Elephas maximus indicus: one gene and its partners. Each later gene encodes a partner of the first gene's protein in a complex. Links are inferred from orthologs where the notes say so. Each region holds a gene or a part of one and is shown in the gene's direction. Other genes may lie near its edges.

Region 1 (10,438 bases):
GCTTGGCCCGCCAGGGTGGGGCTGGGTGTGGGCCGCTCTTGGCCCAGGAGATCAGTGCTCCGTCTCTGGCAGGGTCTGTGGGAATCAAACCCTCCACCTTGACCTCATTCGCATTGGGCTTAATCACCAGCCAAGCGCCTTAAACTTCGAGAGGTCAGCACTACCCCTCCCTCTCAACTCCACTTCATGAACACACTGTCCATCAGCCCCACCTATGGGAAAAGCCTTAGACACCAACAGGGCTGGAACATGGGAGTTATCATGATTCCCAGGTGGGCTGGAGTGTGGGAGGCACTTTTCTGAGCAGACATGATCCAGGAACCCCAGATTGGGAAGAAAGACTAGACGAGAGAAAGTGTAAGGGAGGTGTCTTACTTATCTTCGAAGAAGAGGAAGACTCTCAATGAGATGGATTGACACAGTGGCTGCAACAACGGGCTCAAACATAGCAATGATTGTGAGGATAGTGCAGGACTGGGCGGCATTTTGTTCTGTTCTAACACAGAGTTGCTATGAGTTGGAACTGACTCAACGGCATCTAACAATTTAGTTATCCAGTGCTGTTATAACAGAAACACCACAAGTGTGTGGCTTTAACAAACAGAAATTTATTTCCTCACAGTTTAGGAGGCTAGAAGTTCAAATTCAGGGCACTGTCTCTAGGGGAAGGCTTTTTCTCTCTGTTGGCTCTGAAGGAAGGTCCATGTCTCTTTAGCTTCTATTCCTTGAAGGCATGGACCTTCATGGCATCTCTCTTCCCCCATCTCATCTTCCTTCACTCACTCATTTAATCTCTTTTATATCTCAAAAGAGATTGACTCAAGACACACCCTACACTAATCCTGCCTCATTAACGTGACAAAGACAACCCATTCCCAAATGAGATTATAACCACAGGCATAGAGGTTAGGACACACAACGTACATTTTGGGGGGACACAATTCAATTCATAACAGGAGGGAAGTCCTAGAGACAGGGACATTGACCCTGGTGACCTTCTGTTCCTGTCTCAGAGTCTTTTAAAGTACTGTTTCCCCTGCCAGGAACCCACCTGCCCCCCGATTTTGGTATGGTTGGTCCCATTCCATCGTTCTGTTCTCAGCTCAAGCTTCACCTTCCAAGAGGCTTCCCTGGCCTTCCAAGAGGCTTCCCTGGCTGCTTACTATAAATTATAGGTGTTAGGAATGGGATGAGTCATCACAGGTTTCTGTTTTATTTTCTTCAGGTAACACTTGTTGTGGAGCCATGGTGTCTCAGTGGTTAAGAGCTCAGCTGCTAACTAAAAGGTTGGCGCTTTGAATTTACCAGGCGCTCCTTAGAAACTCTATGGGTAGTTCTACCCTGTCCTACAGGGTTGCTATGTGTTGGAATCAACTTGACGACAACGGGTTTGGCGGTTCCATTGTTATTTATTTCATTGCCTGTTTGGGGCCAGGGGCTCTGTCTCACCACTGGGTCTCCCAGAACCTAGAACCTTGTCTTGGAACACAGTAGGTGCTTGATAAACATCTGTAGAATGAGCAATGGTCCAGAGCACTGCATGAGGCCCATCCAGTGCCCTCATTCGTCACCTCGTGGACCCTTGCTCACCCTTAGCTGGGTCGTCCTCGCATCACTTGTGTGCTTGGAGAGACTGCACCTGCCAGTACCCAGTGACATTTGCACGCAGACCACCTTCCCCTGGCGCTTTCCTCCCCACTGTGTGTCCCGCTGCCCTGAGACCAGCCTTCGGGGGCTCTTGTCAGGCAGCATCCTGGGCCCACTCTCCCAGCCCACCTGGTAGCAAACACCGACAGATGACCCCAGACAGTATCCTGTCTGCTTCACATCTCCTGGGTTCTCCTGCCTTCGGACTGGAACCTGCAGAAGGGCAGGGCCGAGTCTGCCCCACTCACGGCAGTGACCTGGTGCCCCCCCCGCACCTGCCACATAGACCCCTCCTGCCTACAAGGTCCCTGCTCTGGTCACCCCTCCTGGCCCCCTCCTTCATACTTACTCCCTCCAATCCATTTCTGCTGGGCCTTTGAGCCACCTTTCTGCCCCCAGTTCTGCTCAGGCCACTCCCCATTGCTCTCTGGGCAAAGCCAAGCTCCAGCGTTGGCATTCAATGCCCATCAGAGCTGGCCCCAGCCCTTCTCCTGCCCCTCAGCTGTGTGGGGCCTCTTTCCCCAGACCTCGAGCCTGGAGCCTCAAGCATCTGCTCTGTGCTCAGCCCTTTGCTTCACCAGTGCTGTTTCCCCCATCCCCACCCCAAAGACCCAAACACAGCCTTCCTGATGACCTTCCCTCTTCATGGCCTCATGCATACCCCTTATTGGGTGGGGATCTCTTCCTTCCCACATCTCAGTCCTCCCCAGCCCAGAAACTCCTCCTGGCAGGGCCATTTATTCTCAGTCTCTGTGTCCCCAGAGGCCAGAACATAGATGCTTAATGAACGATGAGTGAGTAGATTCCAACTCAATTTAACCAACATTTCTTGAGTGAGCGCCAAGGCCCTGCTGTGCTGGAAGTTTGACACTAGGAGTGCCGAAGCTGGCAGGATGCACTTAGCCCCACAAAGCTCATAATCTGAGATGAGCGAGTGTTGTGTCAGGGAATAGGTGAGCCTTGGAGCAGTCTAGATAGAGAAGGAATAGGTGCGTGGTAGAGGATAAAGGAAGACAGCCTCCCCTCCCCCTGCCCGTGGGAGCTCATGGTGCCATCAAAAAAGACCTGGATTTAAAGGGCAATGGACATGGAGTAGGTAGGCCCCAGCCCCAGGCTGAGCCACCAGAGTGAGATGGGCAGAGATGGAGGAGGGGCGACTTCCTGTTCCCAGGGCCCTGAGCACCTGCCCTCACTGACCCCAGGCTCCATCTGGTGTCACCTTGGCCCCTCTTGGAAGCCAATTAGGTCCCAGTTGCAAGTGGTGATTAGTATGATTAATAACGCCCCCAATCTCCCAGGTGCTGATTCAGCCCAGAGCTTAGGGAGGGGAGGTCACTTTATAAGGGCTTGGGGGGGGGAGTGTCTGAGCCCAGAGTCATTTGCTGGTGTCCTGGTGACTGATCCCAGCTTGGGCAGCATCTTCAGGTTGTAGCGCGTGGGCAGCCTTGAGGCCGCAGCCATGAATGGGACAGAAGGCCCGAATTTCTACGTGCCCTTCTCCAACAAGACGGGTGTGGTACGCAGCCCCTTCGAGTACCCGCAGTACTACCTAGCAGAGCCATGGCAGTTCTCCATGCTGGCCGCCTACATGTTCCTGCTTATCGTGCTTGGCTTCCCCATCAACTTCCTCACGCTCTACGTGACCGTGCAGCATAAGAAGCTGCGCACACCACTCAACTACATCCTGCTCAACCTGGCCGTAGCCAACCATTTCATGGTCTTTGGCGGCTTCACCACCACCCTCTATACCTCTCTGCATGGATACTTCGTCTTCGGGTCCACTGGATGCAACCTGGAGGGCTTCTTTGCCACCCTGGGCGGTAGGGGCTAAGGGCAGGTGGGCGGAGGGCTGCAAGGGGCTGGGGATAGCTACAGACCTAGGGATGGAGGCTGAGGGGCCTTCTTCTCACTGGACTCATCAGCATCATCCAGTACCTGTACCAGTTGTTGTTGAGTTGACTCTAACTCATGGCAGCCCCTTGAGTGTCAGAGTAGAACTGTGTTCCATAGGGTTTGCTATGGTTGATTTTTTGGAAGTAGATCTCCAGGCCTTCTTCTGAGTCACTTCTCGGTGGACTTGGACTGCCAACCTTTTGGTTAGCAGCCGAGGGTCTTAAACAGTTTGCACCACCCAGGGACTCCAGCATCATTCAAGGCCCTGGTTCATTCAATCAACAAACATTGTCAGTAATGATAAGATAGGTGCCTTTTGTTGAGGGCAGCCGCTAAACGTTCTTTATCTCATTGGAAGTGGGTCTATTGTCCCATTTTGTAGCAAGGAAACTAAGATTCAGAGGAAGCCAGTGCTGGAGGTCCCAGAGTGCTGGGGGCAGAGCTAAGTTCCATCTCTGTGGTTCTTCAGGCTAGGCTCTGCACTCCAAGCCTCTGTTGCCCTGGGAACAGCTGCACTGGGTGGACCCATGGTGGCCACTGGGGATAGAACTGGACAAGTCTTACCCTCCAGAGGCTTCCAGCCCAGGGCAGGAAGCCAACTCTCCCTCCTCTAGTCATTGAGTTTCTTCTGAGCACCCCCTCTGTGCTGGGTGGTAGGACCAATCCTTCCAGGACCACCTGATACCTGAGTGCCCCTCCAGCCTCTCTGCTGTGCTTGAATGCTTTTTGTGTTGGGGAGCTTATCACCTTCTGAAGAAACACTTTCACTGTTGCTGTTGTTAGTTGCTGTTGAGTCGATTCCGACTCATTATGACCCCAAGTGTGCAGAGCAGAACTGCACTTCTTAGGGTTTTCAGGACTGTGACCTTTTGGAAGCAGATTGCAGGCCTTACTTCCAAGGTACCTTTGGGTGAGTTTGAACCATCATCATTCCAGTTAGCAGTTCAGTGCTTAACCGTTTGCGCCACCCAGGGACACCACCCCTTTCACAGGGAGGCATTAGACCTGTGGCAATCTGTAGCTTTAAAAAGTGCTTTCAGACATTACCTTTCACTTGACTAGAAAACTGATGGGGGTGCCACAGGGATAATGGATCCCTGAGGCATGGAGAGGGAAGAGACTCATTTAGGGAAGTAACAGGGCAAGCCCAGAGCCTGGGTCTTCTGGCTCAGATCCAGGAACGTCTCCTGGGACACATAACAAGAAGGAGAGGCAAGAGTCAGGTTATTCCAAGCCAGGGCGGCCTGCTCTTCCTGGCCTTCCCTCCCTCACACGTCCAGGATGCTTCCCAGTCCTATTCTCAAGGACTCTGGTCATCATTGGGTGCTCGCTTCCTTCAATGGTCCCATTTCACTCAGGCTCAGTCCTGAAGGTGGGAGTGGAACAGAAGTTCCCCAAAGAGGTGGACACTTGTCTCCAGGGTCAGTTCAGTTTGTAACTGTTGTCCTGGAATCATTATTAGTGGTGTCCCCTTGCACTCTTGGAAATGTCCCGGTTTGGTTGATAAGTTATGCAGCCCCACTACCTACTGAGCTTCAGGGCTGAGGTGAAGGGCAGGCTTCTGGATTCCATCATTATTACCTTTCGCTTCCTCAGGACAGAGTGTCACCCAATCCTTCCTGGCCCCTAACAGAGGATTCCCGGGGCCTGGGTGCTTCCACTTCTCTGGGAGAGGGGAGACTAGCCCAGAGGGAGGGAGAACTTTCAGCTCCAGGTTCCCTCTACCGCTACCCTTCCTTCCACCAAGGCACTCAGCCTATTGCCCAGGAAGGACATGTCCTTCTCTAAAAACTTCCTACAACTGTGAACCATAGTCTGGCTTCAGTGCCCCTTGTGGCCCCAGTGCTTAACCGAACTAAACTAGGACTATCTGCTCACCCCTCTTGGGATACTGCCTGACCCTCATGGCCTCCCCTCCCCGTCTCATAGCCCTTCTTATCCTGTGCTCAAACGCCCACTCCAGGAGGGCTTCCCTCTGCCCTCCCCTGTAAGTAGCAGTGCCCCCTCCTCAGACAGCCAGGTGGGGTCCAGGCAGGGGCCGTGCTGACTGACTGCTGACTGCCTTGCAGGTGAAATCGCCCTGTGGTCCTTGGTGGTCCTGGCCATCGAGCGGTATGTGGTGGTGTGTAAGCCCATGAGCAACTTCCGCTTCGGGGAGAACCACGCCATCATGGGTGTCGCCTTCACCTGGGTCATGGCTCTGGCCTGTGCTGCGCCACCCCTCGTTGGCTGGTCCAGGTAATGGGGCTGGGTAGGAGGGAAGGGCCTCCAGCCAGGATTCAAACCCAGGGCTGTCTGATTCCAGGGACCGAGCTCTTAGGCCCCCTACCCCAAATGCCCACCCTGGCAACTCTCATAGTGTAAGGCTTAGGATAGGGGAAGAGGAACAGACCCTGATGTTACCATGGAGACTGGTCCTAGCCTCTGAGCCCCCTTGTCAAGGAGAATCTAAGCCTCACCAAACCTTCACCTTGGCTTTGCCCCTAATCCTCAACTAAGCCATGGCCAATTACAATCCTCTTTGGCCCAGTGCTCCACGGGCAGCCCTGACCTTGGGCCTCAGCATGGGAGAGGCCCAACCTTCCGAGTGTAGGCAGTGACTTTGGCCACTAGAAACTGGTCTAGTCTGGCCTCAGGCCATGGTCTCCAGATGGGGGCTGAGCTGAGAGGTGGTGGGGATGGTGTTAGGGTACCCAGACTAGGGACTGTAAGGACTGTGGCCAAAGAAGACAGAGCTTCCAAGGCTTCATGGTCCCTCTGCTCCAGGAAAATCCCACTCTCTCCTCCCTTTCATCCTCTCTAATCTTCCCGGGTCAGTTTCTCATCTTGCCCACTCTGAGCCCATCCCCACCTCCCAACCTCTCCCCCATCTTCTCCAATCTGGCCATTACATTCTCCAATGGGCATTCCACATACAATTTCTCTGTCCTCAGAAACCTCTGAAACACCCTCACTGCCTGCCCCAGGAGCTTCTGTTTCCAGAAGCTGCACAAAAATCCCCTCTCTACTCTGCGTGCCCATCTTTGGCCTAGAAAAGACTCTTACTCTATTGCTAGTGAGAGCCCAGGTTGTACAAACTGCCTCAAATACAGAGCTTGTGGGCATTTTCCTTCTGCCACAACTTTGCCCTGTGAAGTCCGAGTCCCCACCCTCCAGGCACTAGGAGACAGTTGACCTGGGGAAGAAACGGAACATGGGACAGTGGGCAGGCAGCAATGCAAAGAGAAATGTGGGGCCAGGCAGTCCTGGGAGCAGGACTGGGCCAGAGGCTAGCAGTCTGTCTTAGTCCCACAGCTGCCAAGTACAGTGAAACTACATTGTTTTTCACAAGGTACATGGGACTCCCTGGCCTCGGTTGATTCAAATTCACAATCACCCAGCCTAATAGGTATTTTATTTTCCCCATTTTACAGAGGAGTAAAGTGAGGCCCAGAGAAGGGCAGAGGCTGGCTCATGGCCCCACAACAAGTATGTTGCAGAGCCAGGATTCTGGCCTCTGGGGCCTGCTCCCAAAGACTCTCACAATTGGGGCCCCCTTTTCCTGGCCCCAGGTATATCCCTGAAGGCATGCAGTGCTCATGTGGGATCGACTACTACACGCTCAAGCCCGAGGTCAATAATGAGTCCTTCGTCATCTACATGTTTGTGGTCCACTTCACCATCCCTATGACCATCATCTTCTTCTGCTACGGGCAGCTGGTCTTCACGGTCAAGGAGGTATGTGGGCCCCAGCTCTGTCCCTCTGCTCAGTGCCTGGCTGTGCTAGGCCCTGGGAACAGGCATGTTGAGTGGGATGCCTGCCCCTGTCCTAGAACCAGTCTGGACACCAGGCCTCTCCCCATGCAGGCGGCTGCCCAGCAACAGGAGTCAGCCACCACCCAGAAGGCGGAGAAGGAGGTCACCCGCATGGTCATCATCATGGTCATCGCGTTCCTGATCTGCTGGGTGCCCTATGCTAGCGTGGCCTTCTATATATTCACCCACCAGGGCTCTGACTTCGGGCCCATCCTCATGACCCTCCCAGCGTTCTTTGCCAAGAGCTCTGCCATCTACAACCCCGTCATCTACATTATGATGAATAAGCAGGTGTTGTGGGCTGGGTGGGGAGGGTCACATCCTCAGTGGGGCCTCAGTCTTCCTTTCTGTGCAGTGCCCGCAGGGGAGTCAGTCTTCATCAGGGCAGAGTGCATCATGGGTAGGTAGCCTCATCTGGGAGCCCGTGTGAAAGGCAGATTCCTGGGCCCCACCCAGATCTACTGTATCAGAACCTCTGGGGGTGGGCCCAGGAATCTGCATTTCTAACAAGCCCTCCCAAGGATTCTGATGTTCATTAGGGCTTGAGAAGCATTGGTTCAAATGGTTTGGGAGGCTCGCTTTACAGTCAAATGGTCCAAGTCCCAAGACCGGGAATTGAACAGTGCCAGTTTCCATGAAGCTGAACAAGAAGCTAAAAAGTCTTATTCTGAGGCCAGAAGATCTGAACAGGTTAAAACATCCCTATAACAAAGACCTGAGTTTTCTCTGTTGAATCTATGATCCGGAGGGAAAAACAGTGTCTGGAGTCAGGCATGGGTTCAAAGCCCAGCTCTGCCATTTTCTAGCTGTGTGACCTGGGAGAAGTCACTTCAGTTGCTTCATCCACAGAAAGATAATTCACAGGAAGCTGCCGGCACAATAGTTTCTCACTCTGTCGGTGTCAAAGCCCCCTTGGGTTTGGTCTTTGGCATCTCAGAGTGGAGATAATTTATGCTAAGTTCCCTCCAGAGATCCAGGTTCGAGGGGAGAGGAGGTCTTGAAGGACAGAAGCAGGGAAGGAGTGAGAGGCAAATCTCTACCCTCACCAGGTTGCCAGGGCCCCACGCTGGGAGACCCTGATTCTGACCCACACTCCTTGCCTTCCAGTTCCGGAACTGCATGCTCACCACCATCTGCTGCGGCAAGAACCCATTCGGTGAGGAAGAGGGCTCCACCACCGCCTCCAAGACGGAGACCAGCCAGGTGGCCCCGGCCTAAGCCCTACCGAAGGCTCTGCACCGGCTAGAGGAGAGTCATACCCCCCGCACCTGCCCCAAGCCATAGCCGCCCCACCAGCAGGGTGCCTGTCGGAACCAGGCCACACAGGTTCCCTGATTTAAAAGAAGAAAAATAAAAATCATGAACTAACGAGAGAAAAATGAAGCTGCCCCCTCGGTGGGGTCAGCCTGAGGAGGGACCACACCGAGACCCCAATCTGGAGTTCCCAGGGGCTGATGGGACCTGTCTGCCTCCTCCCTCCTCATCTCTCAGGAACACAAGGACTCTTGCTCTCTGGAAAGTGTCCCTGCTTAGGGATAAGTGTCTAGCACAGAGAGGGGCACATAGTAGGTGCTTAATAAAAGCTTGATGGATGAAGGAAGGAATGGATGGAGGAAAGAATGGAGGAACGAATGGCTGGGAAAAATCTACCTGTCCTCTCAAAAGCATCTTAGCAACAGCAGCTCATACTTTTGGTTATGTGACCTTGGGCAGTTGCTTTCCCTCCGGAGCCTCCCTTTCTTGCCCCATAGAACAGAAATCCCAATCCTGGACCTGCCTCCTACCTAGGGCTGCTGTGAAGATCAGATGAGATTGTGTGTGTGTGTGTGTGCGTGCACATGTGCACGCATGTGTGTAAGCACTTTGTAAATGATAAAGAGCTGTACAGACTGTAGTTAAGGTCATGAATAATACCTATTAATATGATTAATTAACTACTGTGATTATCTCCTCTTGATAGTGATCATTTTGAGATTGACCATCCAGACAATGGGGTTTCACGCAGCCTCAGCACGTTTTTAAAAAGTAGCTAGGTGTTCAAGGCCATACCAGAACTGGTCCGGCTGCAGGGAGGGCCAGTCAAAGGAATGCAGTCAACAAACCTGTAAAAACAGCATCAGGGCCTGGAGTCTGGGGCCAAGGTCCAGGCCCAGTGTCTCCGTTTGCCGGGCCTCTCTCTCGGCTTCTGAGAAACACCTGGTCCTTCTGCCCTAGCTCCCAGGACACAGCATCTCTGGGTTCTGTACAGAGCTTCTAGCAGCCATGCCCATCCGCCCACATTCAATGACGAGCTGAGTCCCCGATGTCACTCTCGTCACACAGAGCTTAGAAACAAACAGTGGGAAATTTGGCTGGGCCCACCATCCCTGGGGTGTTCAGTTTCAGATTACAGCTCCCATGGTAGACAAGCCCCTGTTTCAGCAGCTAATAGTCTATTCTCCATTCTGGAGAGTCCTGGCTTCTAGGCCCAGGGAGTCAGAAGCAAGCCGCTTCCGTGTCTCGCCTTCCATTACCAAAGCCAGAAGCTCTAGCTCTTCCCAGCTCTGCCCGGAGAAAAAGGCAAACTGGGACATTAAAAGCTCAGCTCCTATACTTTGCGTTAATGTCTAGTGGTTCTTGTGGCTCTTAAGCATCTTATGTGCAGGATGAATTGAAACTGGGCTGCTTCCACCTGAGCCCTGGCCCTGGGATGCCTGGGCTGGGCAGCCAGCAGAGCAAAGCAGTCCAGAGTTCCTGGGGAGAGTGGCGGAATGGGGTACGGGGTTGGAGGAAGCAGTCCCAGGAATGGGGAAAGCCCCAGCTTTGGAGTCACCCCAGCTCAGGTGACCTGTGAAACTGCAAGCAAGTTTTTATTTCCACTTTTCTGAGCTCCCTTATCTTCAAAAGGGAATCTTAAAACTGACCTTGAGTGGATTCAATGAGACTGTGGGCTTTAAGCAGCAGCAGATGGAAGGATATTTTGGCAATGCCCAACCCAGGGCCTCACCTGCAAGGCGAACAGGATGGAGGAATAAATCTCAAGAGTCACCCCTATCTTCCAAGGTGGGCAAGGGTGGAGGGGCCGGAGGTAGAAGATCCCAGTGCTGTGGTGGGGCTGGGCCAG
Region 2 (10,438 bases), on another chromosome or scaffold:
CTCTTTAAAGTGTTGAAAAGCAATGATGTCACCTTGAGGACTAACGTGTGCCTGACCCAAGCCATGGTGTTTTCAATCACCACATATGCATGTGAAAGTTGGACAATGAATAAGGAAGGCCGAGAAAGAATTGGTGCCTTTGAATTGTGGTGTTGTCGAAGAATATTGAATACACCATGGACTGCCAAAAGAACGAACAAATCTGTCTTGAAAGAAGTACAGCCAGAATGCTCCTTAGAAGCAAGGATAGCAAGACTGCATCTCACATACTTTGGACCTGTTGTCAGGAGGGATCAGTCCATGGAGAAGGACATCATGCTTGGCAAAGTACAGGGTCAGTGGAAAAGAGGAAGACCCTCAATGATACGGATTGACACAATGGCGGCAGCAATGTGCTCAAGCATAGCAACGATTGTGAAAATGGTGTAGGACTGGACAGTGTTTTGTTCTGTTGTGCACACGGTCGATATGAATTGAAATCAACTCAATGGCACCTAACAACAACAGGAGAGCCAGATCACGCGGCAACTCGCCGGCAGCATGTAGACTAGATGGAAGCAGCAGAGTGTTTCCAGCAGGTGCTGGCATGCCGACGACGAGACCAGGCTTTTGGCTTAGACTGGCTCTGGTCGCCAATATACCAGTGGCCACAGCATCCCAGCCACTTAACCCTGAGCACCGTCCAGAGCCAGGTTTGCTGTGACGGCTTGAGCTGTGTTCCCAAAAGCCTGTGTTGTCAATCCTAACCCTTATACTTGTGGAGGCAATCCCATTTGGGAATAGGGTTTTCTTTATTATGTTAATGAGGCAATAGCCACATAGGGTGTGTCTAAACCAATCACCTTTGAGATATAAAAAGGGCCGCTCAGGCACAGAGAAGGCAGCACAAATGGAGAAAGAGTGATGCCACATGAAGATTGCCAAGGAGCCAAGGAGCAGTAGCTGAAGAGACAAGGCAGTTCCCTCAGGGCCAACAGAGAGAGAAAGGCTTCCCTTAGAGCCGGCACCCTGAATTTGGACTGCTAGCCTCCTAACTGTGAGAAAATAAATTTCTGCTCCTTAACGCCACTGCCTGTGGTATTCCTGTTACAGCAGCACCAGGTGACAGAGACCGTAAAATAGTTCCCAAGTAAGAGTAACATGCAGCCGTGCCTCCAGCCTCATCTGGGAGGTTGGGGAAGGCTCCCCTGAAGAAGTGGCTCCGGAGCGGACATCTTAGGGCAAAGAAGAGGCACGGAGGTAAAGAGAGAGACAGGTCCTTCCAGGCAAGTGGGGAGGGAGCAGGGGAGCGTGGTGCAGCTCAGTATGGAGAGGCAAGCACTGTGATCTCTTTGCTGTAAACTGAGAGCAAAGGGCGCTGTGAGCAGGAGGGCGATGGATCCGGGCTTGGCAGGTCTCCCTGCTGCGACATGGACCAGACTGGAGGGTGAGATGGGTGCTGTCAGACAGCCAGGAAGTTATGGTTTAGGAAAACCATGACGGATACATGGACTCAAGAGGATGTGGTACTGCAACTCAAGAACAAAAAGACAAAAAACCCAATCCAAGAATGGGCAAAGAATATGACTAAACACTTCAGCAAAGATCTACAAATGGCCAATAAGCACAGGAAAAGATGCCCAATGTCATTAGTCATTAGGGAAATGCAAATGAAAAGCTCAGTGAGATATACTTCACACTAGCTAGGATGGCTATCGTCAGAAAAATGGAAAACAATAAGGATGTGGAGAAATTAGAACCCACGTCCCTTGCTGGTGGGAAGATAAAATGGTGCAGTTACTGTGGAAAGTAGTTTGGTGTTTCCTCAAAGAGTTAAACACACAATTACCATATGACTTAGCAATTTAACTCCTAGATACATACCCAGGAGGCTTGAAAGAGGGGCACAAACAGATATTTGCACACCAATGTTCACAGCAGCATTATTCACAGTTGCCAAAAAAGGTGGTAACAACCCAAGTGCCCATCAACAGAAGAATGGACAAAGCAAAATGTGGTCCATCCCTACAGTGGAATATTCCTCAGCCATAAAGAGAAATGAAGTCGTAATACCTACTACAATGTGGATGAACCTTGGAAACAAGCTGAGTGAAACAGGTCAGACACTGGAGCCCTGGTGGCACAGTGGTTAAGAGCTTGGCTGCTCACCAAAGGGTCGGCAGTTGGAATCCATCAGCCGCTCCTTGGAAACCCTAGGGGGCAGTTCTACTCTGTCCTATGGGGTCACTACGAGTTGGAATCGACTCGACAGCAGTGGGTTTGGTTTGGTTTTATATGAACATGTAGAGTAGACAAATGTGCAGAGCACAGAGTTTATTACCAGGGGTGGGCAGGAGGGAAAAGCGATTGCCGAAAAGGCACAGAACTTCTGCTAGGGGTGAGAAAAAAAATTGGAACCTGTGGTGGTCGCACATCATGGTGAATGCAATTAACGTCACTGAATTGTACACAGAGAAATGATGGAAATGGCAGCTGTTTCATTACCTACATTTTATCATAATAAAAAAATGTCATATGTGTATACAAACCAGGTGCCGTCGAGTCGACTGACTCATGGCAACTCCTTGAGTTGCCAGAGTGGAACTACGCTCCGTAGGGCTCTCAGTGGCTGATTTTTCAGAAGTAGATTGCCAGGCCTTTCTTCCGAGGAGCCTCTGGGTAGACTTGAACCACTAACCTTTCAGTTAGCAGCCGAGGGCTTAACAGTTTGCAAGACCCGGGGACCCTAATACAGGTATACCCGTGGCTGGATTCCGACTCATAGCGACCCTAGCAGACAGAGTGCCTGGTGGATTCGAGCTGCTGACCTTTTGGTTAGCAGCCGAGTTCTTTACCAGTACACCACCAAGGCCAATACGTGTATAAAAACCGAACGCGTTGCCCTGGAGTCGATTCCAACTCATAACGACCCTGTAGGACAGAGCAGTTCTGCCCTATAGGGTTCCCAGGGAGTGCCTGGTGGATTTGAAATGCCGGCCTTTTGGTTAGCAGCCATAGCACTTAACCACTACGTCACCAGAGTTTCCAATACATGTATAGAAAAAAAAAAAAATTGAATAATACAGAGACGATAATATAAAAACACATATTTTCTCCCCACACCCCCTCCCCCTAAAAAAGAACACAGAGAAGGGAAGGAAGGAAGGAAGAGAGAAAGAGAGAAGATAAGGTGGTAGAGGTGGGAAGCAGTAGACTGACTCTGGAGCCATGGGGGAGAAACTGACAGCGATCCTGACAGACGGGGCTTGAGGGGGAAGGAGAGGGGCCTCCCCAGCAGGGCTTGTGTAAAGCCAGGGCTCCAGGGCTGCTCTTGAGGTTGCTATTTCTCCTTGACCTTTTTGTTTACGTTCCCATCCTCAAGGTTGAATTAGCTGCCAGCTGTGTTTAATCAAGTTTGTTGAGCACTTGAAAATCCCCTGTCCTGGTGATACTGGGGGGGAGGAAGGGATAATCAGTCTATTTTCAGAACCCAAAGAGGTTTAGGATCAAAAGGAGCTTCCATCTAACTGTCGTCCGCCCCCCCGCCCCCAACTTCCCCAGGCTGGTATGGCAGCCCCTGCGTCTGTGCGGCCCCAATCTGAGGCGACGGGTGTGACCCCTGCCTAATGCTCAGAATTGCTGAAACGGCCAGTTTGCCCACCTCCGCACTAATCCAATTTCCATCCAGCTCTGTAAGTGGGATTTGGCTTCTAGACACTGCGAGCGGGGTGCCTGGCCTCCTCTCAGACCCACTACAAATCCCCACACACATCGCTGTGCCTGGGGGTCGCCGTCAGGCCCGGCTCGTGCGGAGGCAGCTGCTAGCCCCTCATCCTTGGAGCCCGCGGAGACCTGTCCTCACTGCCTGGGCCGGTTGGCAGGTGCTCAGAAATCACAAGGTATGTGACAGCCAGCCTAGGCCTCTCAGAAACTCTGGCGGGGGCCCGGGGAAAAACAGAGCATCCTTCAACAAGAGCCCTGGGTGGTGCAAACGGTTAGGGTGCTCAGCTGCTCTGCTACTTGAAAGGTTGGAGGTTCAAGCCCACCCAGAGGCACCTCAGAAGAATGGCCTGACATTCTACTTCCGAAAAGTCAGCCACTGAAAGCCCTGTGGAGTATGGCTCTGTTCTGACACACGTGGGGTCGCCACGAGTCGGAACTGACTTGACGGCAACCGGTTAACTGGTGATCCCTCAGTAGGCGAACGGACAGGCCAACCAGTGCAGCCAGACAGTGGAATGTTAGAGAGAAGAAAGCACTTCTCGAGCCGGGGAAAGACATGGGAGAGCCTTAAGCGCATATAAACCCAAACTGGTTGCTGTCCATTTGATTCCGACTCACAGCAAAACGCATATAGCTGCGTGGAACGAGTCAGGCTGAAAGGCTGCGTATTGCAGGTTCCAACTATATGGTATCCTGGAAAAGGCAAAACTGTAGACACAGTAAAAAGATCAGTGGTTGCCAGGAGCTTGTGGGTAGAAGGGAGGGACGAACTGGTGAAGCACTGGCATTTTGTTGTTGTTGTTGTTGTTAGGTGCCGTCCAGTCGCTTCCGACTCACAGGGACCCTATGCACAACGGAACGAAACACTGCATGGTCCTGTGCCATCCTCACAATCGTTGTTATGCTTAAACCCACTGTTGCAGCCACTGTGTCAATCTGTCTTGTTAAGGGTCTTCCTCTTTTTCACCGACCATCTACTAAGCATGATGTCCTTGTCCAAGATACATGAGATGAAGCCTTGCCATCCTCACTTCTAAGGAGCATTCTGGTTGTACTTCTTCCGAGACAAATTTGTCTGTTCTTCTGGCAGTCCACGGTATACTCAGTATCCTTCGCAAACACCATAATTCAAAGGCATCAATTCTTAGGTCTTCCTTGTTCATTGTCCAGCTTTTGCATGCACAGGAGGCAACTGAAAACTCCATGGCTTGGGTCAGGCACACCTTAGTCCTCAAGGTGACATGTTTGCTTTTCAACACTTTAAAGAGGTTTTTTAGGGCAGTGAAATTATTCTGTGTGATACTGTAGCAGGGAGTCCATGACATTATGCGTTTGTGAAAACCCGTAGACCTGCAAAACACAAAGAGTGAACCCCAAGGTAAACTATGGACCTTAAGGAGTCCCCGAATGGTGTAAATGGTTAACGTGCTCAGCTGCTAACCAAAAGATATGGTGGTTCGAATCCACCCAGAGTTGCCTTGGAAGAAAGGCCTGGTGATCGTCTCTGAAAGACCACAACCAAAGAAAACTCTACAGAGCACAGTTCTACTCTGAGGTTGCAATGAGTCAGGGTCGATTTAATGGCAATTAGGGTTTTTCTTTTTTGGTAGTTAATAGTAAACCAGTGGGTGTTGAGTTGACTCCGACTCACAGTGATCCCATCTGTGTCCGAGTAGAACTGTGTTCCACAGGGTTTCGGTGGCTGATTTTTTGGAAGTAGATCACCAGGTCTTTTTTTCAAGGTACCTCTGGGTGGACTGGAATCTCCAACCTTTTGGTTAGCAGCTGAGCTGTCCCACCCAGGGACTCTAGTTAGTAATAAACTATCAGTAAATGTTCATTTGTTGTAATAAATGTACCACAGGAATGCAAGATGTCAATAGGAGGAGAGAGCTGGGGAGGGTGATGGGAAAGGTGTATATGGGAACCTCTGTGCTTTCTTCTTTTCTTTGTGTTTTCTTTTTTTTTGTAAACCTAAAAAAAAGCGAGTAGACAGCCTAATGGGCTTTTCCGGGTAATCGGTCTGTTCTGTGTCACCCTTCTGTGTACGGGACTTTGCTTGTTAAGGAATCTCTGATCTGAAAGCATTTAATTCCAGACAGCTAAGACGGTCTCCCAGTTGTCTGCGCAGCTGGGGAGTGACAAAAGAGAGTGCAAGAAAAGGAAAGCGTTGCTTAGTGGGAATGGTGGAACAGAACGCCTGGGGATGTAATATATTTTGAAGTAGTTGTCTTGTGGTTTTCAGCAACTTTTTCTATTTACTTGCCATAAGACACTGTAATGATAGAATTTTAAATTCAACCTGGCTAAGTGTGAAGTGGAGGGTAGTGCTAGTATAAGGGTGGAATTCTTGCCTTCCACTCGGGAGGCGCACGTTCGATTTCCCGGCCAACACTCCCCATGCACGGCCACCACCCATCCGTCAGTAGAAGCTTGTGTGTTGTTATGATGTTAAACAGCTTTCAGCAGAGCTGCTAGACTAAGAAAGACTAGGAGGTAAGGTCTGGTGACCTACTTCCAAAAATCAGCCAAAGAAAACCCTATGGATCACAGAGGTTGGATCCGAAACCAATCATGGGGACGGCACAGGTCCAGGTAGCGTTTTATTCTGTTGTGAATGGGGTCGCCGTGAGGCACGAGCTGACTCGATGGCAACTAACAACAACAAACGTGAATTCGTCGGAGGGTCGTCAGGAAGTAAAACCCTCTCGCTTGAATCTAGCTGGGCTTTTTGAGGATGTTGATTAAGACGTATTTGAGGCTTACCAAGAAAAAGAAAGAATATATACGTATTTTTTTTAAAGCACACCATCGCCAGTGACCTCCCTGACAGGGGGCACAACAGAGAATCCCTGATGGAGCAGGAGAAAAGTGGGGTGCAGACCTCAAACTCTTGTAAAAAGATCAGACCTAACGGTCTGACTGAGACCAGAGGGACCCCGGCGGTCATGGCCCCAAGACTCTCTGTCAGCCCAAAACCAAAACCGTTCCTGAAGCCAACTAGCTCTCCACACAAGGATTAGCCTGGACTATAAGACAGAAAGCGATCCTGGTGAGGAGCGAGCTTCTTGGCTCAAGTAGACACATTAGACTATGCGGGCAGCTCCTGTCTGGAGGCGGGGTGAGAGGTCGGAGGGGACAGGAGCTGGCTGAATGGACACGGGGATACAGGGTGGAGAGGAGGAGTGTGCTGTCTCACTGCGGGGAGAGCAGCTAGGAGGACACAGCAAGGTGTGTATAGCTTTTTGTATGCGAGGCTGCCTTGATTTGTAAACTTTCACTTAAAGTACAATTAAAAAAATAAAAGCACACCACAGCAAAATACAAACTAAACAAAGACCTTATTTAGTCAAACATGGGAGCTGAGCAGGTAGAAGGAAAAGATCAATGGATATATAGCATCCCCTGACTGGGTTTTACACCCAGCATGTTCTTGGCTTTATATTTAGGATCTTTTTACCTTTTCCCTGTTGTGCATCCCAAGGTGAAAGAAGTTGCCAGGGACAGAAAACATGGCAGCCAGTGGGAAGACAAGTAAGTCTACCCAAAACCATGTCATCTTCAAGAAGGTCTCCCGGGACAAGTCGGTAAGTGGCACAGGAGTGAGTGGCTTAATGGAAGGGTGTGAAAAAGATATATTCTTATTAGTTTCCTCGGGCCACCATAACAAATACCACAAACTGGGTAGCTTACAACAATAGGAGTTTATTCTCTTGCAGTTCTGGAGGCTGAAAGTCAGAAATCAAGGTGTCAGCAGGGCCATTTTCTCTCTGAAGGCCCTAGTGGAGGATGCTTCCTTCACCCTTCCAGCCTCTGTGGCTCCAGGCATTCCTTGGCTTGTGGCCGCATCGCTCCAATCTCCGCCTCCATCTCCACACAGCCATCTTCACTCTGCGTCTCTCTGTGTCTCCTTGTCATATAAGGACATCATGTTGGATTAGGGCCTACCCTACTCCAGAATGACCTCACGTTAACTTAACCAATTACATCTGCAAAGATGTTATTTCCAAATAAGGTCACATTCACAGTTTTGGGGGTTAAGACTTGAACATATCATTTTGCCGGACACAGTTCAACCCATAACACTTCCTTTCCAGTTGCAGGAGAGAGGTGCCCTGGCTCCCATCGGAGACTCACCACTGTACATCCACCTGGATCTCAGGGTTCACCGCCTCTTCAGGTTCTCAACCATCAGGCCCTCCCTGGCTGCATCTTTAACCTCTTCCTCTGTACCCGTGCTTTCCCTGAGCATAAACACAAGTGCCAGCCTCGTGCATCTTAAAAAGGACAACAGCAAAAGCTTCCCTTAACCCTATTCCACTTCTGTTAACCTCCTTATCGTTCTCCATCGTTCACAGCCAAGCCTTCTTGAAGGAGAAGAAAACACCCCTCCCATTCACTCTTCAATCCTCCCTCCTCCAATCCAGCTGCCTAACTGGCTTCCCTTAGCCCATCCATTCTCCACTTTGCTGCTGACGTGATCAAAGTCTCAGTTTTCTCCTCTGTACAATGGGGTTAATTCCTGTTCCATGGAGTCGTGTGAGGATTAAATAGAATAATGCAGTTACGGTCCTTAGCTTGGCCCCTGGTGCATGAGAGGTGCTCCAAATACTATGTAACTGCAGGTCTTTCATTCTGCCTAGATCTTTAGGGTCAGGTCTTCAATGTCTGCTTAGATCTTTAGGGTCAGGTTCCACAAGACCCTTTCTGGCTTTAGCCTACATCTCCATTTACTGGCCGTTCACCTGCAGATGGAGCATTTTCTTGGCTCTAAGCTTTGCATACGCTGCTCTTGTGTTTTTTTTTTTTTTCTTTGCCCACATCCTCCTCGACCATCCCCATCACCTGGCTACTCTGTCCTTCAGGTCTCAGCCCAGGTAGAGACTCCTCCAACAGCCTTCCCCTCTCCTCCCCTCCTCACCATCATCCCAAGAGTCTGGGTCCAGCCAGCCTCTGCCCTGGAATTTACCTGACGGGTTCATGACCATCAGTTCACTTGCCTGGCTCCCAGCAAAACAGTAAGAACTTCGAGAGCCAATGCTGTGTTGTGACTTGTTTGATATTTATCCCTGGGGGGTGCAAACGGTCAGCACACTCACTCAGCTGCTAACCAAAAGGTTGGAGGCTCGAGGCTACCCAGAGGCACCTCAGAAGAAAGGCCTGGTGATCTTCTGAAAAATTGGCCAATGAGAACCCTATGGAGCCAGTTCTACTCTGACATACGTGGGGTCGCCATGAGTTGGGGTCGACTCAGCTGCAACCGATATGGCCCACTGGTATCCAGCACTGACCCTTGCTTTATCACGCTCCTCGGACTTCCTCAGAGCATGGATGCAGGTTTACCTGTGTGGAAGTACACCTGGTGGGATTTCAGGGACTCCTCCAGAATTCCCACCTATTTGCTCAGTCCAGTATTCTTTTAACAAAGGGGGAAACCTTTCATTCCATAGCCAGGAAGAAAAGGCTTAACTTGCAAATGGGTGGTAGAAGCCTCGTTTTCATAGGTATAACTTTCCACTAATGTTGTTAGGTGCCACCGAATTGGTTCCAACTCATAGCAACCCTGTGCACAACAGAACGTAACACTGCCTGGTCCTGCGTCATCCTTACAATTGTTGTTATGCTTGAGCTCATTGTTGCAGCCACTGTGTCAATCTACCTCGTTGAAGTTCTTTCTCTTTTCCGCTGACCCTGTACTTTGCCAAGCATGACGTCCTTCTCCGGGGACTGATCCCTCCTGACAACATGTCCAAAGTATGTAAGACACAGTCTCACCATCCTTGCTTCTAAGGAGCATTCGGGCCGCACTGCTTCCAAGACAGATTTGTTCATTCTTTTGGCAGTCCAAGGTATATTCAATATTCTTTGCCAACACCACAATTCAAAGGCATCAGTTCTTCTTGGGTCTTCCTTATTCATTGTCCAGCTTTCACATGCATATGATGCGACTGAAAATACCATGGCTTGGGTCAGGTGCACCTTAGTCTTCAAGGTGACATCTTTGCTTTTCAACACTTTAAAGAGGTCCTTTGCAGCAGATTTGCCCAATGCAATGTGTTGTTTGATTTCTTGACTGCTGCTTCCACTAATGTATCATCAGTTAATTTAACAAATGTACCTGGTTGATATAAGACCTGGGCTCCACAGGGGAGGGTGGGGTGGACAGGAAGCCTCTGACCATCCCAAAGGGAGGGAGAATTCACTGGGGGCAGGGGAGAGGTAAGGGGACAAGAAAGACAGCTATGAAGCCGAGGATGGAGCATGCCTTGTTAGAATCTATGCTCTCCACCTACAGCCGAGCGGGAGAGAAGGAAGTGATAGAGTGGCTGCAGAGCCAGGTGGCCCCTCTCCTCCGGACTAACCAAGATATTTGGGTTGTTGCTGATTTTTAACACGAACAGTTTAGCTAAGAGTTCTTGGATCATCTAGAATTCACACCTGCTGTCTCCACAGGTAACGATCTACCTGGGGAAGAGAGACTACATAGACCATGTCAACCAAGTAGAACCTGTGGGTAAGTTGAGTATGGACTGAAACTTTAATGCCAACTTGTTGTTATTGTTTTAATTCATTAGGCACCTGTCTGTTAGTTTTGTGTTTTTAAAAACTGCCCTCACAAATAATCTAATCAAAGAAATACAAATTAAAACATCAGGGAGGTGCCCCAGCTGATTTGAAACAATTTTAAAGAGTGTGAGGGAGACAAGGGATAAGTATCTGGGTATATAAAGAACTC
Region 3 (10,438 bases), on another chromosome or scaffold:
ACCACAATAATAAAAAAGACACCTAAACATGCAACTATCACACTACCCAGCAACCTTGCCGCTTTTCACACAGAAACCTGTCCATGAAAGTTTATAGCAGCTTTCTTTATAACAGCCCCAAACCGAAAACAACCCAGATGTTTGAATGAGTGAATGGTTAAAACAAAACAAAACAAAACAAACAACCAAACCGAAAAAAAAAAAAAAAAATACTATGGCATGTATACCTATACCATGCAATACTACACCTAGTGTCGTCGAGTCGATTCCGACTCATAGCGACCCTATAGCACTTACCCATAAAAAAGAACGAACTATTGATACTTGTAACAACCTGGACGACTCAGCAGGGAATTATGCTGAGTGGAAAAAGCCCACTCCAGAAGGCTAAGTACTGTAGATTCCAGTTGCATAATAATTCTTACAATGACAGAGTTATGGAAATGGAGAACAGATCTGGTAGAAGAGAAGTAGGTGTGATTGTAAAAGGGCAACCTGAGGGCTCCTTACGGTGATGAAATGTTCTGTATTGTTACTGTGTCCATATCAGTATCTTGGGAGTAATATTGTATTACAGTTGGCAAGATGTCAGTATCAGGAGAAACTAGGGAAAGGGTACAGGTCGTCTCTCCGAATTATTCCTTACAACTGCAGGTGAAGCTACAGCCATTTCAAAATAAAAAGTTTAACTTAAACAAAGGGGTTCCAGAGCCAAAAGGGTTTGGGAAACACTGCATTCTTTACCCTCCTCCCCCCGCAGGAAGACAAGTTCATTCTAAAATCTCTGAATAAATCTTGCAATAAGGAAACAAACAAACAAGAAAACCCCAACAAACCCACTGCCATTGAGTCGATTCTGACTCATAGTGACCCCATATGGTTTCCAAGGCTATCAATCTTTACGGAAGCACACTGCCACATCTTTCTCCCTCGGAGTGGCTGGTGGTTTCGAACCACCCACCCTTGGGTTAGCAGTCGGGCACTTTAAATAAGGAAACGTATTTAACTTTGTTGAGCTTAATGTTTCCCATTGTATTTGAGCACGGAACTGCCCCCATCCCCCAGGATACAGCTTGATGTTAATCCAACAGGGGTTTGTATTCCTTACACCCCTGTTCCTCACAGTGTGGTCTTGCACCAGGAGCTTCAGCATCACCTGGGACTTGTTAGACACCTTAGACACCCCAGACCCACTAAAGCAGAATTTTCATTTTAACAAGATCTCCAGGAGATTCATTTGCATATTGAAGTTTGAGAAGCCCTGACTCAGGACACACTTCAAGAAACACTGGAATAAGGTGTATTTTACGCAGCAACATGAAAACCATTGTTATATGGAATTCTGAGGGACAGGCAAGAAGTTGTTTTAGGGGGAACCAGAGGCTTGGAGGTTAAAGTGATCGGCTCAAGGTCACCTGCTATTAAGTGCCAGGGCTGGGACTAGCGAAGTTCTCCTGGGAGGATAATGTAATATTAGCTACTTTAATTTTTCTTGTAATATTCACCTCAAATACTTACTCAGCCAACCTGCCTTAAGCTTTGCTTGTTAGGAGACTGTGAAGACCATGACTTCTCAGCACAGCATGTTCTCAGGTCCATTTTCTCGATGGCTAGAGAGGACCCCACCCCTCTTCCCCGGACCTGCTTGCAGAGCTCATTGCCCACCTTGTTACTCCTCCACTCTGACTGTGATGTGAGGTGGGGTGGGCTGGATTGTCTCCAGGACCTCTTCTAGCTCAGACATTCCTTGTTTCTGTGACTCTCCAACTACCTCTCCTCTTTCAGCTAGTCATGTCCTTGTCATTCTTCCACAAACATTGTTGAGAACCTACTATGTACTAAGGAGTCCCAGGGTGGTACAAATGGTTAAACACTCGGCTATTAACTGAAAGGTTAGCAATTCAAGTCCCCCCAGAGGTGCCTCAGAAGAAAGGTCTACTTCTTAAACAATTAGCCACCGAAACCCTACGGAGCACAGTTCTACCCTGACACCCATGGGGTCTCCATGAGTCGGGATTGACTGGATGGCAACTAGCTTTTTTGTTTGTTTGTTTTTTGGAACCCCGGTGGCGTTGTGGTTAAGAGCTATGGCTGCTAACAAAAAGGTTGGCAGTTTGAGTCCATCAGGTGCTTCTTAAAAACCCCATGGGGCAGGTCTGCTCTGTCGTATAGGGTCACTAGGGGTTGGAATCAACTTCACGGCAACAGGTTTTTTTTTTTTTTTTTTTAATGTGCTAGGTGCTACGGATACAGTGGTGAAACAGACAGACAAGGTGCCTGCCCTTGTAGAGAACAAAGTGTAGATTAATCAAGTCGGTGGTTTCACCCAAGAATAAACCTAGGAAGCTTTTCATTGTTTTATTGTTATTATTAGTTTGTCTTTCTAAACTACTAGCAGCTTATTTTCTTCACATTGTTTTTAAAGATAAAAATGAAGTGAATCAGGGAAAAAACACCCAGGCATCTTTAATAAATTAAGGTTTCTCCTTGACCCCCCTCCCCGCCTTTCGTATTTGGGCTCTCTTGGCACCTCTCCTCTGCAGGGTTCAAGTCTCCACGCAGAGACCTTCCAGTCCAACATTCCTCTGACCAGGAAACAAAAAGGCATTCCAGCACACTGCGTTAAGCCAGAGGATCGAATTGAAGGGCAACTTAGAACGAATTTGTAGCTGAACGCTTCAGTGCTGCACACCCAGGGAATACTGGTGTTTGTTCTTTCTGACAGGAAAATAAACACCGTCGCCCAGAAAGAAGAGAGCTGGGGTTGAATTATCTGTCTAATCCATTTAGGAGATGGCTTAGGGGATTGTCTTTTTCTGGCACTTGTTAGTCACCTCTAACTCACCCTTTCTAACCCTCAGGAGCCTGGGATTTAACTTGATGTATCTTCAGCCCCTGAGGTTCCTGGGACTTTCCCAGTCCCAGTCCGTTGCACTGTCCAGGACATCTTCCGTGTCCCTGTGAAGGCAGGACAGGTGGCACCGGCCAAGGGCAACAGGTCAACCCTCATCTAGACGAAGCCTCTGTGGACCCAGCGTTGACCTATGGCTTTTCATGCCTGAAGCAGACCAGGGACCAGCACCAGAATGGATTTTGGGGCCTTGGAGACAGTGGTGGCCAATTCTGCCTTCATCGCCGCCCGGGCCAGTTTTGATGCGAGCAGCACCCAGTGTTCCCGGGACAAGAAGTACCTTGCAAAGCTCAAGCTGCCCCCCCTCTCCAAATGCGAGTCCCTTCGCGAGAGTCTCAACCTCGAGTTTGAAAGTGTATGTTCAGAACAGCCCATCGGCAAGCGCCTCTTCCAGCAGTTCCTGAAAACAGACGAGAGGTATGTGCCGGCCCTTGAGCTCTGGAAGGACATCGAGGACTATGACACAGCAGATACCAATTTCCGGTTGCAGAAGGCCCAGGCCATCGTGGCTGAGTACTTGGACCCCCAAGCCAAGCTCTTCTGCGGCTTTCTGGACGAGGGGGTGATGGCAAAGGTGAAGGAGGTGCATGCCGCTGTTGAGGACGGACTCTTCCAACCCATCCTGCAGGCCACCATGGCACACCTGAGCCAGGCCCCCTTCCAGGAGTACCTGACGAGCCTCTACTTCCTGAGATTCCTCCAGTGGAAGTGGCTGGAGGCCCAGCCCATGGGGGAAGACTGGTTTCTGGACTTCAGGATCCTGGGGAAAGGGGGCTTTGGGGAGGTGTCAGCCTGCCAGATGAAGGCAACTGGCAAGATGTATGCCTGTAAAAAACTGAACAAGAAGAGGCTGAAGAAAAGGAAGGGGTACCAAGTAAGCAGCTGCAGTAGTTCACAGCAAGTGCAAAGTAAATAGTTTTTAGATTCCCAGGGTGAGGTGGGGCGGGGTGGGTGGGTGAGTATCAGAGAATGTAAATTAGAACATAGAGGATTAGTCAGCGTCCCAATGGGCCCCCTTAGCTGGTTTGCGTACTGGACGTAGAAGACAGCATTGCCTTGGATAAGATGTTAACCTTGCCCTTGGCCACCCAAACCTACTTCATGTGTGCAATTATTGGCTCTTTTTTCTAGAGCATTTTCTTGTGCATCATGTTTAAAATCGCACATCAAAATTAGCCCTTTTTTTTCTTTCTTATTTTTGTGGCACTGTATCTCAGCTCTTGCTGTTTTCTGACCACAGTGCGGAGCTAGCAGGATGAGGTGTATGACCTCTAAATTCCTCTTCAGGTCTGTAGTTCAGTTTGTCCTGCTGCTGTTCCTATGGACAGGAGGTTTGCAGACTTCCCTCCTCAGAGACCCACCTTAGTGTTTGCTTCTTGATGTGGGTGATAGTCCACGTTTGGTCATCTTTCTTTTTTTGCTAACACCACTGAAATGCTGGAGCAAGTTTAAGGGGAAGAGTGCCTTATAGGGGAAAGCTGCTTATTCTTCTAGATTCTTACTCCTTCTGAAAGCCTTTTCCCAAACCCTTAGATTATATTATGACGGAAAATGCACAAAAAATTGTGGCAGGACTTGTGTTCATTCAAATATCACTTTTTTAAAAAAATAGGCTATTTTTTTAGAACAGTTTTAGGCTTATAGAGAAATTGTACAGAAACTACAGTGAGTTCTCATATACCCCTTCTTTCCTGTTGTTGTTGTCATTGTTGTTAGGTGCCGTCAAGTCAGTTCTGACTCATAGTGACCCTATGCACAACAGAACAAAACACTGCCTGGTCCTGAGCCATCCTTACAATGGTTTCCTACCTGCAGTCAAATATCACTTTGATTGACATGTTTATATGAGACAGAAACCCTCTGTAATGCTGGGATGCTGAATGTTTTTGCCCCTGAACGGAGCTATTTTCCAGGGAATGTGAGTGAATGGAAGGCATATAAAGGTTGCTCTAAGTTTCATCCTCTCCACCTAACTGGCACCAGATTGCCCTTTTAGGACAGGATCAGTGAAAGCTGCTTAAAATGTCTTAGGAACACATTTAAAGCAGCCTCTCCAGCTGCACGTTCTGCCACATACGGTTCTCTTTTGCCCTCAAGTGGCACAGCACAGATAGTGTTAAGAGCAGACAAAGTGTTTGGGGTTAAACAGCAACCACCACAAAGCATCTCCCAGCTGGGCGTTTCCTTGACAACGGGCCAGGCATACGTGTCATTTAGGTCCATTAGCTAAAGGTTAGATAGGTAGATAGCTAGCTGCTGTTGAGTTGGCGCAGGCTCATGGTGACCGTATGTACAACAGAACGAAACGTTGCCTGGGCCTGTATCATCCTGGTGACTGCCAACACGTTCAAGTCCATCATTGCAGCTATTGTGCAAATCTATCTCACTGAAAGGTTAAATATCAGACGCTTATAGCAACCAGTTGAGTGAAGGGATCCAGGAAAATTCACAGCGATCTCACTGTGAGACTTTGGGGTGGAAGTAATTACCCCTTATGGTTGTATAACTGTAACTTTAATTCTGCTGTTAGAGTACGATAGTCTCTTCTCCGCTTAAAATCAACTTAAAATATTTCCATCCAGGTATGGATAGAAAGGGCCTTCTCCACCACCAAGAATTCCTTCCTCAAAAAAGGGTTCATCTTTGCCTATCGAAACACAGCTTTTAACAACATGTTTAAATGGAACAGCACGAGGTTTTAAAACAGAGATAAAAAAATGAAATAGAGGTGTGAGGTGGTTTGGGAGGGTGCTGACCGAATGTTCTCTGTCTTTCAGAAGCCTGAACCAGAGAAAAGGGGAAAGATGAGTTGGTTAGACATAAAGGAAAGCACTAAGGGAAAGTAAACACTAAACAGGTTGTCAGGAGAAGGTGGAATCTTATTCTGATATTTTTAAAACACTGGTTGGTTTGAGCATCACATGCCTGGAGGCTGATCCAGCAGCCTGCCTAGTCCTCTGTGCATTAATGAATTTGCCACATCAGGTTTTCTCTCTATGAAATGGGTAGAGTGACACCTGTTTATAAGTTAATTGCAATTGCTTTTCACGTACTATTTTAAAAAGATAGTGGCAACTATGTTTCTATTTTTCCGTGTGTACCTTAAACAGTAGGCAACACTGTAGCTGATGATCTTAATGAGGTTTTCCTTCTTGTGGAACTTGGAATTTTATGGTGACGGTGCTTTCCTGACCAAACCTGGGTACTTACTCAACATCTTGCTTTTCAGGGTGCTATGGTAGAGAAGAAGATTCTAGCAAAAGTACATAGCAGGTTTATAGTCTCTCTGGCCTACGCGTTTGAAACCAAAGCCGACCTCTGTCTGGTGATGACCATCATGAATGGAGGTGACATAAGGTAAATGAATCTTCTTCAAATGTGGGAGAGGGTGACCTGGCTGTGATCTGGGATAGAGATGGCCTGATGGTCCGAGCTTAGTGAGAGGATCTCTGGGACCTGATCAAGGATGCTTCCCATGTGGGCAGAACCTGCGGCTACTCATGAATGCTGTTTAAGGGGCAGTGGGAAAGCCCTGTGCCCCGATCAAAATCCTCTTCTTCCTAGTTTTCACTGCTGACACCTGAAATGCCACGCCCTCAGTCTCCTATGAAAGGCAGGCACCCCTGAGGGAAGTAGGCCATTCAAACATCTCTGTGAATCAGGATGTCACTTCCTTTCCTAAGCTGGGTTTGGTTGGACATTGGGGAGGTGGGGCTGAGGGGTGTAGACAGCAGGCATATGGTACTACAGGTAGAGTGATCAACCAGTATGTGCTATTTGGATGGATGAATAATGGGGTGGAGGTGGGGGTCCTAGAGAGGAGTTGAGGGCTCTCCATTAAGAGGGATAGTAAATGAGGACAGACGTCATCAACTTCCCCATTTTGTGAAGGGCCCCATTTTGTGAAGGGCTGCTCTTAGGGAATATCAGTAGAGCTAGGAACAGAATGTAGCCAGTTGAGGATACCATGGTTTTCCCATCACCTGCAGAGAGGATGAGGCTGTGTCTCAGTGTTTGCCCTGTGCCTTGATTTGCCCTAGATCTGAGAGCCAGGCCCTGGGCTCCTGAGGTCAAGCCAGATCATTGACTCTCAGGGGAAAGGGCCACTAGACTCTTTGGGAGACTTGGATCATATAAAACCCTGATTGGGTTTGAGCTCAGTCATCTGAATTTTATTTTTGGGTGAAGAGAAGGAAAATTAACTGATTTTCTAGCTGGCCGACCTAATCTCTCTTTGCCTCAGTGTCCTGATCTATAAAATGGGGGATAAGTAATAATACCTATGTCGAGAGCCCTGGTGGCACAGTGGTTAAGAGCTCAACTGCTAACCAAAAGGTCAGCAGTTCAAATCCAGCAGCCACTTCTTGGAAACCTATTGGGCATTTCTACTCAGTCCTATAGGGTGGCTACGAGTTGGAATCAACTCAACAGGAACAGGTTATGTTCAAAGGTTGTTGTGAGGATAAAGTGGAGTAATACATGTGGAACACTTGGAAGAGTGGCTGGCATATAAGGGTTAAATAAAAGTGGGATGCTGCTATTGTTATTTGCAAGGCCCTGCACTTCCATTCTCTCATCTGGCTTTATCTCCATTGAAACTTCATGAGGTAAGTTTGATTACCCCATTTTACAGATGAAGAATCTGAGGTGTAATTTAAATAACCCATTCAAGGTCACAAGAAAGAGGAGGAACAGTGTGTTAGGAAGTACAGATAAAATACCTTCAAGACAGTGGAAATGATAATGGCCTTTTAAATTATATTATTTATGTTTACTTATAAATGTATTTTCTATTATTATTATTATTAATTTTTATTATTCTAGCTGTCTTGTGTCCAGCTCTCATCTGAAGGATTTCCTTAGGAATCCTGTTTCATCTCTACTCTCCCTGGTTGTTTATCTAGTTTTAAATAGTTTATTTCATTTTATTCATTAACCACAACCCAAACCCAAACCTGTTGCCGCTGAGTCAGTTCTGACTCATAGCAACCCTAAAGGAGAGTAGAACTGCCCCATATGGTTTCCAAGGCTGTAATCTTTACAGAAGCAGATTGCCAGGTCTTTTCTCCCACAGAGCGGCTGGTGGGTTTGAACCGACAACTTTTAGGTTAGCAGCCGAGCACTTAGCCACAGTGCTACCACCAGGGCTCCCTTTTAATTCATTAGGTTTCATTTTTCTGTAAAATATAATAGTGGAAAAAATAAGAAGAGATATATATACCACTCCACAATCCATCAAGGACTCTGATTCTTAAGGTTGAATGTAATAGCTTATGTGTTTATGTAGACTCTAAATGAATTATTTATATTTTGAAATAACCTGGATTCCTTATCCAGATTGCTGTCCCCTTCCTCTGCCCCTTTATTCATTCCGTTCACAAGAGTGCAATGGCTTTGAGGCCTGTTTTCTAGAGTCCGCGGCCAGAATGGGGAAAGGAAAGGGAGACAAGATGAATGTGAGTCATCTCCGTTCCTCCTCTTTAACAGCTGTGGTTAAGTGTTCGCGAGGACGTTAAAACCACCAGCTAAAACAAGTCTTGCTACTGCCTCTGGTTCCTTCTTTTGACATGATGCTGAGGCAAGACAAACGTCCCTGCGGCCAGATATTCCTCTAAAACAACATATGCCTCTGAAGCTTTCGTTCTGTTTTTCAGTGATTTTTCTTCCCATTAACACTGTGGGCACACTGCTTGGAGCTGGGCCTAGACAAGTACCCGCCTCTCTCACGGTGGTCTGCCCCCAGGTATCACATCTATAATGTCAGTGAGGACAACCCTGGCTTCGAGGAGCCACGCGCCGTCTTCTACACAGCCCAGATCATCAGTGGGCTGGAGCACCTGCACCAAAGGAGGATCGTCTACCGGGACCTCAAGCCCGAGAATGTCCTCTTGGACAACGATGGTGAGGGGCAGCCTCTCCCCACATGGGGTTCCCTCCTGATCTTGGGGGGATTATGGGAATCAGTCCAGCCAGGCTGCTCTCTCCCAGCTTGTCTCTATGGTCCAGGCGGTTACCTTTAAGAGGAGTGAACAGATTTTGATACATTTTGCTATACATTTAAAAAATCAAACCAGACCCATTGTCATCCAGTTGATTCTAACTGACAGCAATCCTATAAGACAGAGTGGAACTGCCCCATGGGGTTTCCAAGGAGTGGCTGGTGGATTCGAACTGCTGACCGTTTGGATGGCAGCCAAATGCTTCAAGGTTCATTTAAAAGCATCATATATAGCTATAAATAGGAGGCCTGGTGGTGCAAATGGTTAAGAGTCTGGCTGCTAACCGAAAGGTTGGTAGTTCGAACCCACCAAGTGGCCCCGTGGGAGGAGGACCTGGGAAACTGCTCCTGTCAAGATTACAGCCTGGGAATCCCTATGGGACAGTTGTCTGCTGTCACATGGAGTTGCTATGAGTTGGAATCAACTGGATGGCAAGCAAAGTGATAACAAAATAGCTAAGCAAGCACTATAGCTTTAAAGGGCACATTTTAATTCCATTATTTCTCATTCAACGGTCCTGAAGCAGGAAGGTAGCTGGCAGAATCTTCAAATGGGCATCATGATTTTTAATGGACTTTGGTGAAATTTGGTTCATCCAAAGATATCGATTGTTATTAGATCTATTAGTAAACAGCTAACGATTTATGGCCAGATCCGTATTGTGTCTTTTTTTTTCTCTCTCACTTATATGTGAAATCAAATTGGGATTCTTATCAGAAAATAAACATAGAGATGTAGACATCCAAAACAGTCTTTAGATTGTCCTCCATTCATATCAGTAAGTCAAGGAAATATGTAGGTATTCACCAAAGCTGTTGCAGCCAAGATTGGGGATGAGAAAGCAGATGAAGAAACTGAATTTTGGGTTGATTATGCCCTGAATTCCCGGTGGAGGTACTGATGGCACTCAGCCCCCAACCCCCTCTGTGCCTCTCTGCAGTCTGGCCAGGGAAGGAGGGGGGACAGTTCCCACAAGTACCTGGGCTGCTGTGACCTTGCTGCCCACGTGGCTGCCCAGGTGTGTGCAGAGGGTGGTGCTTGGCTCCCGCGAGGCTCTGGGCACGCCAGACTCTTTGTTCTGTGGAGCCACGTGTGACCTTAGTTGTTTGCTTTTCAGGCAATATCCGAATCTCTGACCTTGGGCTGGCAGTGGAACTGAAGGACGGGCAGACCAAGACCAAAGGCTATGCAGGGACTCCAGGTAAAACGGGCAAAAGGGACGGGGGGCAGCTTCTCCTGCTGCCTGGGGAAGAGTAAGCAGGTGAGCCCCTGTCCACGAGGAGGGAGCAAGAAACGAGGACCTTTGGGTCTCCAAGCACTGGGGGTGGGGTGTGAGGCATGGTGAAGGGTGGGACAGGCAGCAGGTTCAGGCTGGTGTGGGGAGAGAGATTTTCTCATCCCTCGGAGCAAATATCAAAAAAAAAACTATGGGAGTTTGCCAACGGACATGCACAGATGTCTTAACCTGGAGCTGTCCCAAAAGTTTGTCATTCACTGCAGAAATAATCCGACCCCCCGCCCACCACCT

Evidence for each region. The genes of interacting proteins can lie anywhere in the genome.
Region 2: the proteins of RHO (region 1) and SAG are in contact, whole or in part, in a crystal structure (PDB 4PXF), measured with the Bos taurus proteins. The link is inferred for Elephas maximus indicus from reciprocal best matches to the Homo sapiens genes RHO and SAG. Residues at the interface, in NP_001014890.1 of Bos taurus: Arg135, Val138, Val139, Lys141, Leu226, Glu249, Val250, Met253, Met309, Asn310, Lys311, Gln312; in XP_010802144.1 of Bos taurus: Asp71, Ile72, Met75, Gly76, Leu77.
Region 3: the proteins of RHO (region 1) and GRK1 are in contact, whole or in part, in a cryo-EM structure (PDB 7MT8), measured with the Bos taurus proteins. The link is inferred for Elephas maximus indicus from reciprocal best matches to the Homo sapiens genes RHO and GRK1. Residues at the interface, in NP_001014890.1 of Bos taurus: Lys66, Lys67, Arg69, Thr70, Arg135, Val137, Val138, Val139, Lys141, Ser144, Asn145, Phe146, Arg147, Phe148, Glu150, His152, Leu226, Thr229, Val230, Ala233, Gln236, Gln237, Glu239, Thr243, Ala246, Val250, Met257, Ile305, Tyr306, Met309; in NP_776598.1 of Bos taurus: Leu6, Glu7, Thr8, Val9, Val10, Ser13, Ala14, Ile16, Ala17, Ala18, Arg19, Gly20, Asp23, Ala24, Glu184, Asp185, Trp186, Phe187, Leu188, Asp189, Phe190, Val192, Arg195, Glu200, Gln205, Met206, Lys207, Lys221, Arg222, Thr256.

What each region holds. Positions count from the first base shown.
Region 1 is NC_064838.1:38,157,864-38,168,301, forward strand, and holds RHO (rhodopsin), read left to right. Parts: upstream 1-3,106; coding exon 3,107-3,467; intron 3,468-5,609; coding exon 5,610-5,778; intron 5,779-7,091; coding exon 7,092-7,257; intron 7,258-7,386; coding exon 7,387-7,626; intron 7,627-8,442; coding exon 8,443-8,553; downstream 8,554-10,438. UniProt on the Homo sapiens protein: Photoreceptor required for image-forming vision at low light intensity. Required for photoreceptor cell viability after birth.
Region 2 is NC_064824.1:135,424,514-135,434,951, forward strand, and holds the start of SAG (S-arrestin), read left to right. Parts: upstream 1-3,576; 5' UTR 3,577-3,878; intron 3,879-7,186; 5' UTR 7,187-7,214; coding exon 7,215-7,289; intron 7,290-10,155; coding exon 10,156-10,216; intron 10,217-10,438. UniProt on the Homo sapiens protein: Binds to photoactivated, phosphorylated RHO and terminates RHO signaling via G-proteins by competing with G-proteins for the same binding site on RHO. May play a role in preventing light-dependent degeneration of retinal photoreceptor cells.
Region 3 is NC_064835.1:74,758,316-74,768,753, forward strand, and holds the start of GRK1 (rhodopsin kinase GRK1), read left to right. Parts: upstream 1-3,086; coding exon 3,087-3,785; intron 3,786-6,140; coding exon 6,141-6,268; intron 6,269-8,654; coding exon 8,655-8,812; intron 8,813-10,027; coding exon 10,028-10,111; intron 10,112-10,438. UniProt on the Homo sapiens protein: Retina-specific kinase involved in the signal turnoff via phosphorylation of rhodopsin (RHO), the G protein- coupled receptor that initiates the phototransduction cascade.